Caenorhabditis elegans: one gene and its partners. The protein of the gene in region 3 purifies or fractionates together with the protein of the main gene of each other region. This does not show direct contact. Each region holds a gene or a part of one and is shown on either strand. Other genes may lie near its edges.

Region 1 (5,193 bases), on a different chromosome or scaffold from region 3:
ATATTGGACCATTTTTCTGGAATACTTTTTGTTTTGCAGTGAAACTAATGAAGTTAGTGACTGAAGAGAGATAGAGAACAGTGAAATGTATTGCTACGTCTAAATTGTGTTTTCGATAAGAGTTTGTGTACATGAAATAGGTATGAGAAAGAATTTATTGAAAATGTGAGAAATACCGAAAGAAAAATCAATCATCTCACACTTTCATTAAATTTGGGAGGGGTTTATGTCTTATGTCTAAACTATGAATAATGAAAGTTTATCTTCTATCTGCAACAAATATTCACTGGAAAACAAACAAAACGGTAGAACTATCATATGTACAATACCAAAAATCAGAATCTACAGTTAAATACAATCAAATTAACAGGTGTGTTCTATTTATAAGTCCTCGTAAAGTCCCGCGAAAATCTTACCACATTGTCCAACATTTATGCGGTTGTCATCTACACCTGATATGAGAAAATGTAAAAGGCAATTGTTTAAATTGTTATAATCTTCCAAAAAGTTCTAAATTTTATTAAAATTTGTAAATAAAAAAAACAGTAATTTCTTATCAATTCGCCCAGAAGATTCTTTCCGTTATGCCAAGTTGTTCCTCCATAGTTCTCAATTCGTCTGATTCTCTCTGTAATAATGCATGTTTTTGGTGGTCTGGCCCTTGAATAATTTTAAAGTTTCTATTCGAATACAAAATTGAAAATTGATTTTTTTTCAATAAAAAACCTTAAAATTTTAAATTCGGTAAAAAAACTTGGGCGTTCAAAGTTAAAAACAAACCACGCAACAACTTTACTTTTCTTTCAAATGAAAATTAAATTCATACTTGAAGCTCCTCTCTTCTTTTCCTCAACTCATTCATTTTCTCTTCTGCTATTTTGTTCTGCCCATCTAGCACTTTTTCGAAATCTTGTCGCATTTGTTCCAATTCCTTTTTTGCGACTATTGAAAAATTATCGTCCAATTCAAAAACGCGTCTAGAGTTCCCAGGACTATTTGACAAACTTATTGTTTCCATAAATTGTGTTAATCTTGATATCCTTTTTTCGAACTTTTCCTCCAGTCTCATTTCCATTTCTTTCAATTTTAATTCAAAACTGTCTTCTAATTGGGACTTGATCTCATGAATTTTATCCACAAATTTTATCTGCAAAAAAAATTATAAAAAGAACTTTTAAAAATAATATATTTTTTAATTTTAACCTCAACTTCCAATTGATTTTTTTTTTGAAACTCGTCTTTTTTATCACAGGTGGTTCCAGTTTGATCAGCTTGTTGATTTTCGCCTAAAGGCACTTCAACCAGTTGTTTAGTATACTAAAACTATGATTGTTATTTTTAGGTAACAAATTAACACAACCTTTAAGCTCTTTGAATTTTCATTATTTTCTTGTAATTGTTTGGCTGTTGAATGATGTGAACTTTTGCCATCATCAGAAACATTTTGAATAGGAGATGATTGTCTCGAAGATTCTCTAAAAAAAATTATTGTTGAAGTAGATCTCTCTTAAGATATTTCAATTAAGAAAAACGAAAACTCACGATGCAATTTGATCATTTCTAAAATCTGGGCTGCTTCCAGTCCCAAGAATAATAGGTGACTTATGGACAAGTATTTTCTCATTAGGGATGCTGCTCCAGAAACTTTTCAAATCATCAATATCTTCAGATTCAAATTCACATGATTCTATTTTGAGCTTGTATGATTTTGCGTTCAGGCTAACTTTGTCGCTCGATCGAAACTTGACAGATAATTGCCTCGCTTCTCCAGGTTTCAGCAAATCTGAAGCAGTAGATTCAAATTGTATTTATTAGGGTGAGCAATAAGTTTTTTCGTATTTTCTCAGTTTTCATCCTTTCTGAAATATTTTGTATGTGGTACATAGTATTCTGTTAGTAGTGCAAAATATATTGAAACCATATATTTCCGCCCACTTCCAAACTGATTCATCCTCAAAACTTCGCTCGAAAAAAATATCCAATTTTTTCGATTTTTTCGGATTCTTTGGGAAATCCAAATTTTACTAAATTTCCTTCGTTCAAAAATATTACAAAAAATACATTTTGATTTTGAGAGGGTATAAAACCGACATCGTAAAAGATATAAATACGGATAAAACGACAATCTTGTTCTTCAGATTAATAGCAACATTTCTGCAGTTGAACACTTTTTGATATCTAAAACCAGTAAAAAGTGACAGGCTATTGAGTCAGAGGCACTCATTTTCGCTGAATCTGCCACATTCTTACATTTGCCTCCGTAGATTTGTTAAATCTTAATTTATCAGAAAGTGTTCAACTGCAATGTTGTTTATTACATATTTGTGCACAACTTTTCAGTTGATCAGTTTTTGATAACAATGTTATCCAGGAAGTTACAAGCGTTGGAACAAAAAACACCAAAGATTGAGAAAATTTCTCTAAATTTGAATCAAAAAAATTCGAGAAAAAAAAATTTTAAGATAACTTTGCGAATTGCACGTATTGCAAAAATCAAGTTAAGACAAAAACAAAAAACACATTATTACATGTTGTGATTTCATATTCAACAAGTTTGGTCGTTTTTGTGAAAAATGTTTTTGATAAATTCAGATTTAACAAAACTACGTAGGCAAACGTAAGAATGTGGCAGATTCAGCGAAAATGAGTGCCTCTGACTAAATAGCCTGTCACTTTTTACTGGTTTTAGATATCAAAAAGTGTTCAACTGCAGAAATGTTGCTATTAATCTGAAGAACAACATTGCAGTTTCATCCGTACTTATATTTTTTTACGATGTCGGTTTTATACCCTCTCAAAATCAAAATGTATTTTTTTTGCTGTAATTTTTTGTAATATTTTTTATATTTTTGAACAAAAAGGGAAAAAGGTATCTAATACTGCTCAGTTCTGAATTTAATTAATATTATGTATACAACTAATGGTCTAATACCTCACGGAGTACTGACATTTGGATTTCCCAAAGAATCCGAAAAAATCGAAAAAATTGGATATTTTTTTCGAGCGAAGTTTTGAGGATGAATCAGTTTGGAAGTGGGCGGAAATATATGGTATCAATATATTTCGCACTACTAACAGAATACTATGTACCACATACAAAATATTTGAGAAAGGATGAAAACTGAGAAAATACGAAAAAACTTATTGCTCACCCTAATACATAAGTAATTTTTTGAGAAAAGTTTTCTAATAAATGTGACTTACCAGGATTTGGTCGACTGACATACATATTTGGTACACTCGTTTTCACTTTGAAACATACTGGTTTCTCAGATATATTTTTCAGAGTAACATAGGCAGTATCAGTCAGATTTGTTGATTTATTGAACACAAAATTGTCGCAGGGAGTCACTTCAAGAAGAATTGTTTTACCACACATTCCTGAACACATTCAAAATTAGCGAAGAAACGTTCAAAGAGCAAAGAAACTTTCAAGAAAATGAGAGAAACGTTTTTCGAAAGAACAAACGCTACGAATTGCTATGACTAAAACGCGAGAGAGATGCTGATAAGATTGTTTACAAATTAATGTTGATCACACAACTAAACAAATCTTTTTTATTTTGAGAACACAATATTTTTGTCTTCAAAACATAAAATCATGCTCACAAGTATAATTATGGAGTCTTCCACTTCTGAGTGTTTTTTTTTCAATAAAAACTCACTCAAAAACTCATAAAGATTATAACATCATTTTCAGCATCTTAAAAACGTTTTTTTTAGTAATTATTATAACCCCAAACATTCATTTACAATTACTTACAATAGCTAAAAGATAGCTAAGATTTGTGTACATATTTCAACATCTTACAAAAATTCATTCCAAATAAATTGCAAAAAAAGTTCCACAGTTAGAAGAAAACAAATCATGATAAAACATATTCGAAACTTGAGAGATTATAAAAACCACGATTTCACTTTTTAAATGTTTTATTCTCTACGACGTCTCAATGTGAGTTCAACTCTGTTTTCTACCTTCTGCAAAACTGATTAGGTTGAACATTAGACTCTTCCCTAATTTTGTCAAAACTAACCAGCGATAGGTTGATAGGATAGATAGGGTTGTTGAAAGAGACGAAGTAGATTTACGAAACACTGTTTTGAACACGGAAAATGAAAGCAGATCTCCGATGTTTGATGAACACAGAGACGGTGTGTAGAAAACTGCCTTGAAAATATCATACTTTTTGGATGTTTTCAATTTTCCTCCAAAGGCAAGAAACTTGTTTAAATTTCTCTAAGTTTCTATAATTTATTTGTGATTCTGAAGGCATCGAAGTATGTCGATTAAAAGAAATCAATTTTTCATTCAGTGAATATAATTTGTAAATACATATGTATGTATGAAGTGAATATAAATATAAATTATCTATATCACTTAACAAATAACACATTTACTTTCAGAAGTACAAACTTCTTCTGCTTGAACATTGTCTTGTTCGTGGATCACGACGTAACTCTTGAGGTGTATCTTCGGGAATTCTAACTGCTCATAGTTGGAAACGACGGCTTTTTTGCAAATTTTTCGTAGTGATGTTGTTGTCGGAATGTCACTGAGCTTTATCATAAAAAACAACTTTTCGAGTTGTTTATACCATTCGTGGGACGGGGCGTTCACATCAAGAATATTCAGAATCGATGATAAAACAAGTGCAAAATCAATTATACTTTTCTGAAAATTGGATTTTCATTGGAAAGATAATACACACGAGAGTACCTGTAGAACTTTGATGAATAATGCATCTGTAGCTATGTCATGTTGTTCACCGAGTTGGATAAACAGAAACTCAAGAGTATCAAATAGGCTTAATACACATTCTGAAAGAATTGATATTTCTTCATATGCATCTTGAAGTGATTCCGACGGTAAGCGTTTAAAATATTTCCATTCACGCGCCTAAATGTTTAAAAAAATTATGTTTAAACACTAGCAAATGCAAATTACCACATTCTGAAAATCTCGAAAATATTCTAGGAATCTCTTGATCGGTTGCTTATAGCAATTTTGAATCCAATCAGCAACTTTTTCTTCCTTTTCCTCAAATCTTTGTTTTAATCTGATACATTCAAATAGTGCAATAAAACGATTTTTCATTTGACTTTGAATTTGTTCTAATTCAGCCTCGAACTCTTTCTATAAAAATACAACATTGCTAGAAATTTTAAATTATTCCAATCATTACTTTTTTCAAT
Region 2 (3,234 bases), on a different chromosome or scaffold from region 3:
GGAATTTTTGGGCTGTTTAGGTGCAAAAACGGATTTTGAAGTTTTTTGTGCTGAAAGATCGGATTTTTTTGGCTTTTTAGGAGGAAAAATGGATTTTTGATGTTTTTTCCCCTGAAAAATCACAATTTAGGGGCTTTTTAGTGGGAAAAATGAATTTTATCGCAGAAATTGATGAGTTTCTGCCGAAAAATCGGAATTTTTCGGATTCTTAGGGCGAAATACGATTTTTTGATGTTTTTTCACCTGAAAATCGGAATTTTAGTGATTCTCGTGAGGAAAATAGGGTTCTGTTCAAGTTTTTGCGGAAAAAATGATTTCCCAATGGAAAATTAAAGTTTCTTCGATGAAAATTAGGATTTTCATTTTTTTTTTTAAGAAAAATAAATTTTTATGAGAAAACGAACGTTTTTGACTGAAAAATCAAAATTTTCAGAAATTCCAGAGAGAAAAATGGAATTTCTGAGGAAAATTGGCGTTTTTTTCACTGAAAATCGCAATTTATCGGACTTTTCATGGGAAATACGATTTTTACGAGAACTGTAACGTTTTTCAGTGGAAAATTCGATTTCTAGCAGGGTTTATCGATAAAATATCGGTTTTTAACCAATTTTTAGTCCATTTTCCTCGAAAAATACGCACTGAAAAGGCTGTGCCGGTATAGTCGGCCCGTCGCCTCCCTCCATAACGTCTTCCCGGTCGAAAAGGAGCTTCAGCGATTTTAGAACTCCATATAAAGATGGCTCAAAGTCCAGTGACACTTCATCATCACAGGAATAGCAGTAAAGCTCGAAAGAAATGCAATCAATGACGACTGGGTGGCTGGTTTCTTCAAAATGATGCAAAGCGTGGCCCGAGTCGTTTCTTCCGCACAGAATTCGTCCGCAAGTGAGGCACATCAGCGATTTATTGCAATTATCGCATTCGTCGCAGAAGGTTTTAATTATTTCCTGGTTTCTGGAAGAAAAACGAGTTTTTAAAGCTATTTTTAGCTTTTTTTAGCCATTTTCTAGCCAAATTTCTCAAAAAAACTCACTTCACCACCTTCCCACGATTCGAATTTCCCTCCAAGAACAAATTATTGTCCTCCATGTCCTGTTTCTTGCGGAACATCCCCTTGGGCACACGCTCCACACAATCTTCCGCCTTTATATGGGTGCAAAGCATCTGAAAAAATTCGAAAATCAGTCAATTTGAGTGTGAGAGCAAAGTTTTGGCACTTAAAACGCGGATAAAAAATCGATAATCAAGAAAAACAGCAAATTTTCGGCGGAAATCGAAGAAAAACCGAAAATCGAGTCGGAAAATCGGAAAAGTTTGGAAAAAAATAAAATCCATCGGACGAGATAGTGTGGGAAAGGTGGGGTGCAGCAGACGACGAGGCGGATGGGGGATGGGTCTCGCCACGAAGGGCGTGCGCCTTTAAACTGGAATTGTCGTTGGCCTAAAAAGTTTTCGCTCCTTTTTTCATTTTTCCCTCGAATTTTTGGGTGAATTTCTCATTTTTAGGCGAACTTTTCGGTTTTTTTTTCGAATTTTCAAAATTTTAAATGTTTTCCTGATAGTTTTCCTCCACATTTCGCAGGATATTTGCTTGGAAAATCAAATTTATTAGTTTTAGGCCCATGTTTTCGTTTTTCGCTTCAGTTTCTCCTTTTCTCACCCCGTTAACTCATTTCCAATGTTTTTCTTCTTGCAGGTAATAATATTTGAGCGATGAGACTTAACTTCGCCTACCCAGCCACCGGGCTCCAAAAGTCGTTCGAGGTCGATGAGGAGAAGAAGCTTCGCCTCTTCTTCGAGAAGCGCATGTCCCAGGAGGTCGCCATCGATGCTCTCGGTGACGAGTGGAAGGTTAGCGAGTCACCCAAAAACACAGAAACGAAGTGATGTTTCTGTGTCAAATCCTCATTGTTTCACGTGCTTTTTCTTCGCTGAAATGGCTGTGACTAGACATACATTGAGAGTCCCAGTTTTTGTTTTTGAACCGATTCTCGGCTCTTTCAAACGAGTTGCTTTTTTCCAGGGATATGTCGTCAGAATCGGAGGAGGAAACGACAAGCAGGGATTCCCAATGAAGCAAGGAATTCTCACCAACGGACGTGTTCGTCTTCTCTTGAAGAAGGGACAATCCTGCTACCGTGAGCGCAAGAACGGAGAGCGCAAGAGAAAGTCCGTCCGTGGATGCATCGTCGACGCCAACATGTCCGCTCTTTCCCTCGTCATCGTGAAGAAGGGAGATGGAGAGATCGAAGGACTCACCGACTCCGTTCTCCCACGCAAGCTCGGACCAAAGAGAGCCTCCAAGATCCGCAAGCTCTTCAACTTGACCAAGCACGACGATGTCACCAAATACGTCATCACCCACGACAAGACCTTCCCAGATGGTGAGTTTCTTCAATATTCTCTTTAAATTTAGTTTTTAACTGTCTAAATTTCCAGGAGTCACCAAGACCATCGCACCAAAGATCCAGCGTCTCATCACCCCAGCTCGTATCGCCAGAAAGAAGTACCTTCTCCGCCAGAAGCGCAACCAGAAGATCAAGATGCGCGATGACGCCGCTGCCTACCACAAGCTCCTCGCCAAGTACTCCAAGGAAGAGCACGACGCCAAGATCGCCCGCAGACGCTCTTCGGCTTCCCATCACTCCGAGTCCGAGGTCAAGAAGACCAGCAAGAAGTAAATACTGCTGCTCGTTATTGTTTCCTAATGAAATTGTTGTTAAACTTAAATCTTTTTTTTTTGTTGTTCACTCCATTCGTCTCACCAATTATATTTGCACCCATTTGTCGTTGTTAATTTTTTTGAATGCTTACTCCGAGTCCTGGCACGCCACTCAGGGTACTTGGTCGATCCGTTCTTCGCCTGCGGGGCGGATAGCAGGCTTCGCAGCTTTCAAAGCTTTTCGGTTCTTTGCTTGGCTGATAGTTGTATGACTCAACCGAAGGCGTCTCTCGTGTGACCTTTTTATAAAGAGTCGTTCCATCTAAACGGGAGTCGTCCATTTTTGTGTTAATTCTGCTAAGATAAAGCGCGCTCCTGAAATTATCTTCCAAAGTGCTGTGATTCTTTTTCAAGGATACGGTAGAAGTCTTGCTATGAGATATCTTCCGCCACAAATATAGGAATTCTCATGTTTTAATTGTTTCCCAGCAAGACATTGGCCAGTTTTCAACTGAAAATTCATTTTTCGATTAATTCCGGGTGTTGAATTCAAAAATCTGATAGAACTACTG
Region 3 (4,778 bases):
TTTCAGTTCCATTTGGAGCGAAACCATCGAGTGTTCGCACAAAATCATCGTGTCAAAAGTATCATAAAACTAGTATTATATCGCTGAATGTGCCCGCGCTATAGATGCAGATGCAGGGAATATGATCATCATGACAAAGGCGACGACACGGCAATAGGGAGCGGAGGATCGAAAATTGCCATTAAAAAGTGCGATTCTATATCAAAGTTAGAAAAAAAAGAAGAGACGAGGAAAATGCCGTATATTTGTTGTTTCTGATGGATTGCCTAGATAACTACACCTTATATGATGTTTCACGGGTTGGTGTTTATAAAAGAAAGTGAAACATATACTCACCGATCACTCGACATTTCGTTGATTGGGCTCTTGTTGTCTTTGCTTCGAGACCTGGAAAACAAACAATTGATTATGATAATTTGAACTTGTAGTGCGTGAAAAGATTTATGAAACGTCTTCTTATAAACTAAGCAGACAAAATTACAGCAAATCTTCCAAATTTCCTATCCCAAGAAAACATTCCGATAACAGCTTTTTCAGTGCACCAACATTTCAATTTTCCATCATAAATTTACAAGTCCCTATCAAAAGAATGATCAAGTTCTAGACAGAGCATTCTCATGATTGAAGCCACCGACCAGAGTTTTGTGTTATCATTCTAAACGTATACGATAATGTCTTCGCGTTGTCAATTGTCCGGTAAGAGAATGACAACATGGACTACTAACCGTTATGAAAATTCAAGACTTTTGTTGTCGCTATTTCCAAGGAGACCAACGAATTGGAGGAAGAGATTGAAGAAATAAAAAGAGAAGAGGACCTTCTTCTTTTTCCTTTCTCCTTTTTCTCCCGAAAATAATTGCGTGGTGTGTGTGCGAAAGAACCAAAAGCAGCCAGGCTCAGCTATGGCGAGGGGTGCCACTACCAAAAAAGAGTACTACTTTTGACGCTGAGAGAAGCATCCACATCAGCTAGAAAATAGAAACGAACGTGCCATGACGAATTTCAAACATGTTTTCTTTTTTTTCAACACAAAAAGCAGACTCCAAACTTAGTTGGTTCTGAAGAACGCATAAAACTAAAAATATACTGCAGAAAAATCTGGTTTCAGTTCTGAATCTAGTTTGCAGAAAGTGGAGTAAGCAGAATCTGTTTGAATTGCATGCCACGTTGATGGTTTTTGTTTTACTCAGAAGTGCCTTTTTATTGTTAGGGTGATTAAAATGAAGTGTGCCTAAATTATCAGTTATCGTAACTACATGAAAAAATAAAACAAGTTCTCAAAAGTTATGGACAGAAGGTGAAAATCTGTTCACACATTGCCTATGTCAAAGTATGCGAAGTGTCCGCAAATTTATGCATATAAAAACGGGTGAATCTGTTGTTGAGGTGGTAGTGCTAGTGTATAAAGGAGAGGTTGTAGGCACAAACGAGTGGTCGACTCTGGTTAGATGGCTCCAATAGATGAAAATGGAGAGAAAACACCAAAAAGAGAAGAGCGCTCCATTTCCCCTAGCCATAGACGAGAACGACGTTTAATCGCTGCTCTAACGACGGAAAGTGGGTGAAAAGCGTTGAGAGGCTCGTTCGAATAAATGAAGAGAGCCGAATAAAAATAAGAGCTAATGGCGAGCAACGTCGTCTAATAATTTGTATTGAACACTCACCAGTATTGTTGCTCATCTCCGCTTGCTGAATCCTCTTCGCCAGATCGTCGCCGAACTGAAAATATTTTCACAATATTGCGGTTTTAAAATGATGTTCTTGAACATACCAGCTTCGTCATTAGCCGAACGTCTGGTTCCTTTTTCGCCGCCATTTCCACGCGGTGCTCCTTTTCCTTTACTTCCATAGTCGACTGAGATATCAACCTTCTTCCAACTATTTTTAGTCATCTTTCCACCAGTTTTGTGTTGCGAATTGCTACTGCTTTCGTTATTATCATCCTGCAATAATACATTTAAAAATTAACTCAAAATAAGTGGGAACCGCTTTTTCAGCAAAAAATTCACTCAATATTCAAAAATTGAATCTTAAATTTAAACCGCTTTAGAACTATGCACGTTTGTATATTAATCATTCACAGAGTGACTAGCTTATATAGGTAAAGCTATTTTCAAAAAAAAAGAAGTTTCGTGTTTCATTTACAACTATGGCTATGAAAATCCGTGTTAGATTGAAAAAAAAACAATTAACTCACTGAATTTGATGGGGAGACATGTCCGTTAAGCTCGGCTTTCGCTAGAGTTGGCCAATCCTGAGTGGCAGCAACAGTGACTGTTTCAGTAACAGGAGCAGTTGCTGCTGGGGCTGTGGATGTTTTCCATGGCTCTTTCTTTGATTCTCTGGATTTTGACTTCTCTTTGATTGGCGCTGCTTGTTTAGGAGTTGGCTCAACAGCCCGTTTCTTTTCTGGAATTGGCGCTGAAGATTTCTGAACGACTGGAGTTGCAGTAATAATAAATTGGTCTGCGGCGGTTTCGGATTTTTGTTCCTTTTGAGCTGCGGCAGCTGCGGCTTCAGCTTCTTCTGAAACTATGATTTTTTTTTGGAAAACGTGAAAACCCAAGAACACTTTCAAAAAAGGCATAACCAATTCGGTTTATGAATATATAATTTTAAAAAAATCGCACCTTTGTTTTTGAACCAAGCGTTTATAGCCGGTAATGGAGCTGGTTCCAGCACAACAGGAATCTCAACTGGTTTCACCTCTTCTGTTGCTACCTTTTCAGCTGGTTTTTCGGTTTTAGTCTCTCCTCTCGGTTTTCGATCGCCTTTTCTGTTATTACGACGTTTTCCTTTTCCTTCACCTCGTGGTCTTTCCGAACGTCCACCAACATTTTCCTTTTCACGTCTGTTATGTGGTGGATGTGCCTGCTTTTCGGGTTGACTGTTTTCGTTTTGTGTAGAAGAATGAGAGCTATCTTGCGTGTGCTGAACCTGCTGTGATGGAGACGAAGCGTCTTCCGCCTGTCCAGAAACTACTTTTGCGAATGAGAGCATGGGCTGCTTCTCGGCCATCCGATCTTCTTTTCTACTTGCTGTTGATGTTAGCAAGTTTTTCTTACCTGGAAAAAAATATTTTGGACTGAATTGGCATTGGAAAATTTTTAAAAAACGTATTCCGAAGTGCGACAAAAAAAGTTGAATAAATTTACAAGCTAGAAAATGGAAACATGGAAGAACATACTATCCACTTTTTCGATTTTGAAGAACATCTAAATTTTTTAATGTTGTTCAGAAAGATTGTTCCGGTTTTTTCAACTTTCTGAAAATAAGACGGTAAAGAATTTTATCAGAATCGTTTGAAGTTTTGGAAAACAAGAAGACTATGGATAGAGTTAATACTTTCGATAAAGTTTTTAATCCGCCTGAGATTGTACCCTTGACGACAAATGGAGAGAACAGAGAAATGAGAGAAGATATTTAACCTTTAAAAAAGTGTTTGAACTTATTTGTTAGAAACCTTAATCAATGAAATGTAAAAGAGAAATCGCTTAAATTTAAATATTTGTCCAAAAAATCGATACTATTTTATTCTGAAATATTAAAAAAAACAGAAAGAAAGAAAGACATAAAATAGCGAAAAGTTCAATTTCTGCGTAGCGCCCCTATGCTTTACCATTGCACTAGAAGTTTACACACAGTCTGGGGGTACACACGAAATGCCCGGCAGCTCGCGCACCGAGAACGCGTCAATAACTAGCCCTCATGCGTCTTTTTGGTCGCCTTGACGCGATTCTCGTGTCCGCTGGTTTTGTTGTTTTGCCGAGTAAACACACGTTTTGAAGGCCAAGACGGGACAGATTATTTTTTTTTCAATTGTTTTTCTGCATGAAAGAAAGCAATGTTTCTTTACTCTATTTTCCCCGTTTCGTAGAAATTTCAATGTCTCCTCTTCCCTAGTTTAACCTTTTCTCAGTTTTGAAATAATCTTTCGATAAAATCAATGATGACTCATAAAAGTTTGTCTTATTAAAAGCGCTCATACTTCCTTAACTTTTCACTCTTTTAGATAATGCCTCCACCACCTCCACCACCGCCGCCTCCACCTCCGCCGCCACCTCCGGCTGCATCGGCTCCGCCACCATCCAGCAATGCTCGAAATGCTCTTCTTGGCGATATTCATGTGAGTTTAAAGTTTTTTTAATTTGTAAAAATAATTTAAATATTCAGAAAGGTTTAAAACTGAAAAAGACAGTCACGAATGATCGATCAGCGCCATCTGTTGGAAAAGTCGTTGGAAGTAGCGGATCTTCATCGAATGGAAATTCTGGAAACGGAAATGGTCCGGCTGCTAAACCTCCACAAATGTCTGGCGGATTAGGAGGTCTTTTTGCGAATGGAATGCCAATGAAACCAAGCGAGAATAAAATTAGACGAGCAACTACTAGTATAGGTATATCTAAGTTTAAACTTTTTGGCAATTTAACGCAATTCACAACAAGAATTTAAAGTACTAGGAAAATATACATTTCAATGTTTTAAAGTATTTTTTCTCGCACGGAGAACAAACTGGCAAAAAAAATTGTTTTCAGTGATATCCCTTTTTAAAATAACCGTTACCCATTATAACCCTCTATCCCACTTTCAGGACCCCCTCCAACCGCCTCATCAGCTCCACCAGTACCTCCTCCTGCTCCAGTTCCAGCTGTTGAAGGTACACATTCAGTTTTTGTTGTCGTTTTCCCCCAATTTTTGGTTTTTTCACTAATTCCAATTAACCCAAGTGAAAAAACAAATGTTTTTTTCAGGAAAAAAGCCATCGATTGTCTCATCAT

The links. The genes of interacting proteins can lie anywhere in the genome.
Region 1: the proteins of larp-1 (region 3) and ZC196.2 fractionate together in Caenorhabditis elegans (co-fractionation; one large-scale study listed by BioGRID). This does not show direct contact.
Region 2: the proteins of larp-1 (region 3) and rps-6 fractionate together in Caenorhabditis elegans (co-fractionation; one large-scale study listed by BioGRID). This does not show direct contact.

Annotation. Positions count from the first base shown.
Region 1 is NC_003283.11:8,737,623-8,742,815, reverse strand, and holds ZC196.2 (Major sperm protein), read right to left. Parts: upstream 3,381-5,193; 5' UTR 3,380-3,380; coding exon 3,205-3,379; intron 1,784-3,204; coding exon 1,543-1,783; intron 1,476-1,542; coding exon 1,361-1,475; intron 1,318-1,360; coding exon 1,204-1,317; intron 1,148-1,203; coding exon 827-1,147; intron 629-826; coding exon 557-628; 3' UTR 505-556; downstream 1-504. Other genes in the region: ZC196.3 (DUF713 domain-containing protein), read right to left, coding at 4,379-4,672, 4,718-4,897, 4,946-5,134, 5,184-5,193.
Region 2 is NC_003279.8:13,950,465-13,953,698, forward strand, and holds rps-6 (Small ribosomal subunit protein eS6), read left to right. Parts: upstream 1-1,696; 5' UTR 1,697-1,713; coding exon 1,714-1,851; intron 1,852-2,023; coding exon 2,024-2,384; intron 2,385-2,439; coding exon 2,440-2,681; 3' UTR 2,682-2,730; downstream 2,731-3,234. Other genes in the region: usp-3 (Ubiquitin carboxyl-terminal hydrolase), read right to left, coding at 640-954, 1,034-1,164.
Region 3 is NC_003281.10:5,014,633-5,019,410, forward strand, and holds the start of larp-1 (La-related protein 1), read right to left. Parts: upstream 3,019-4,778; coding exon 2,631-3,018; intron 2,527-2,630; coding exon 2,198-2,526; intron 1,944-2,197; coding exon 1,772-1,943; intron 1,720-1,771; coding exon 1,665-1,719; intron 388-1,664; coding exon 337-387; intron 1-336. Other genes in the region: wip-1 (WH2 domain-containing protein), read left to right, coding at 4,016-4,126, 4,174-4,396, 4,592-4,657, 4,752-4,778. UniProt on the Caenorhabditis elegans protein: RNA-binding protein that promotes oogenesis by repressing fem-3 expression during germline development. Binds poly-U and poly-G stretches of RNA in vitro. Regulates target RNAs expression either by regulating their stability or translation.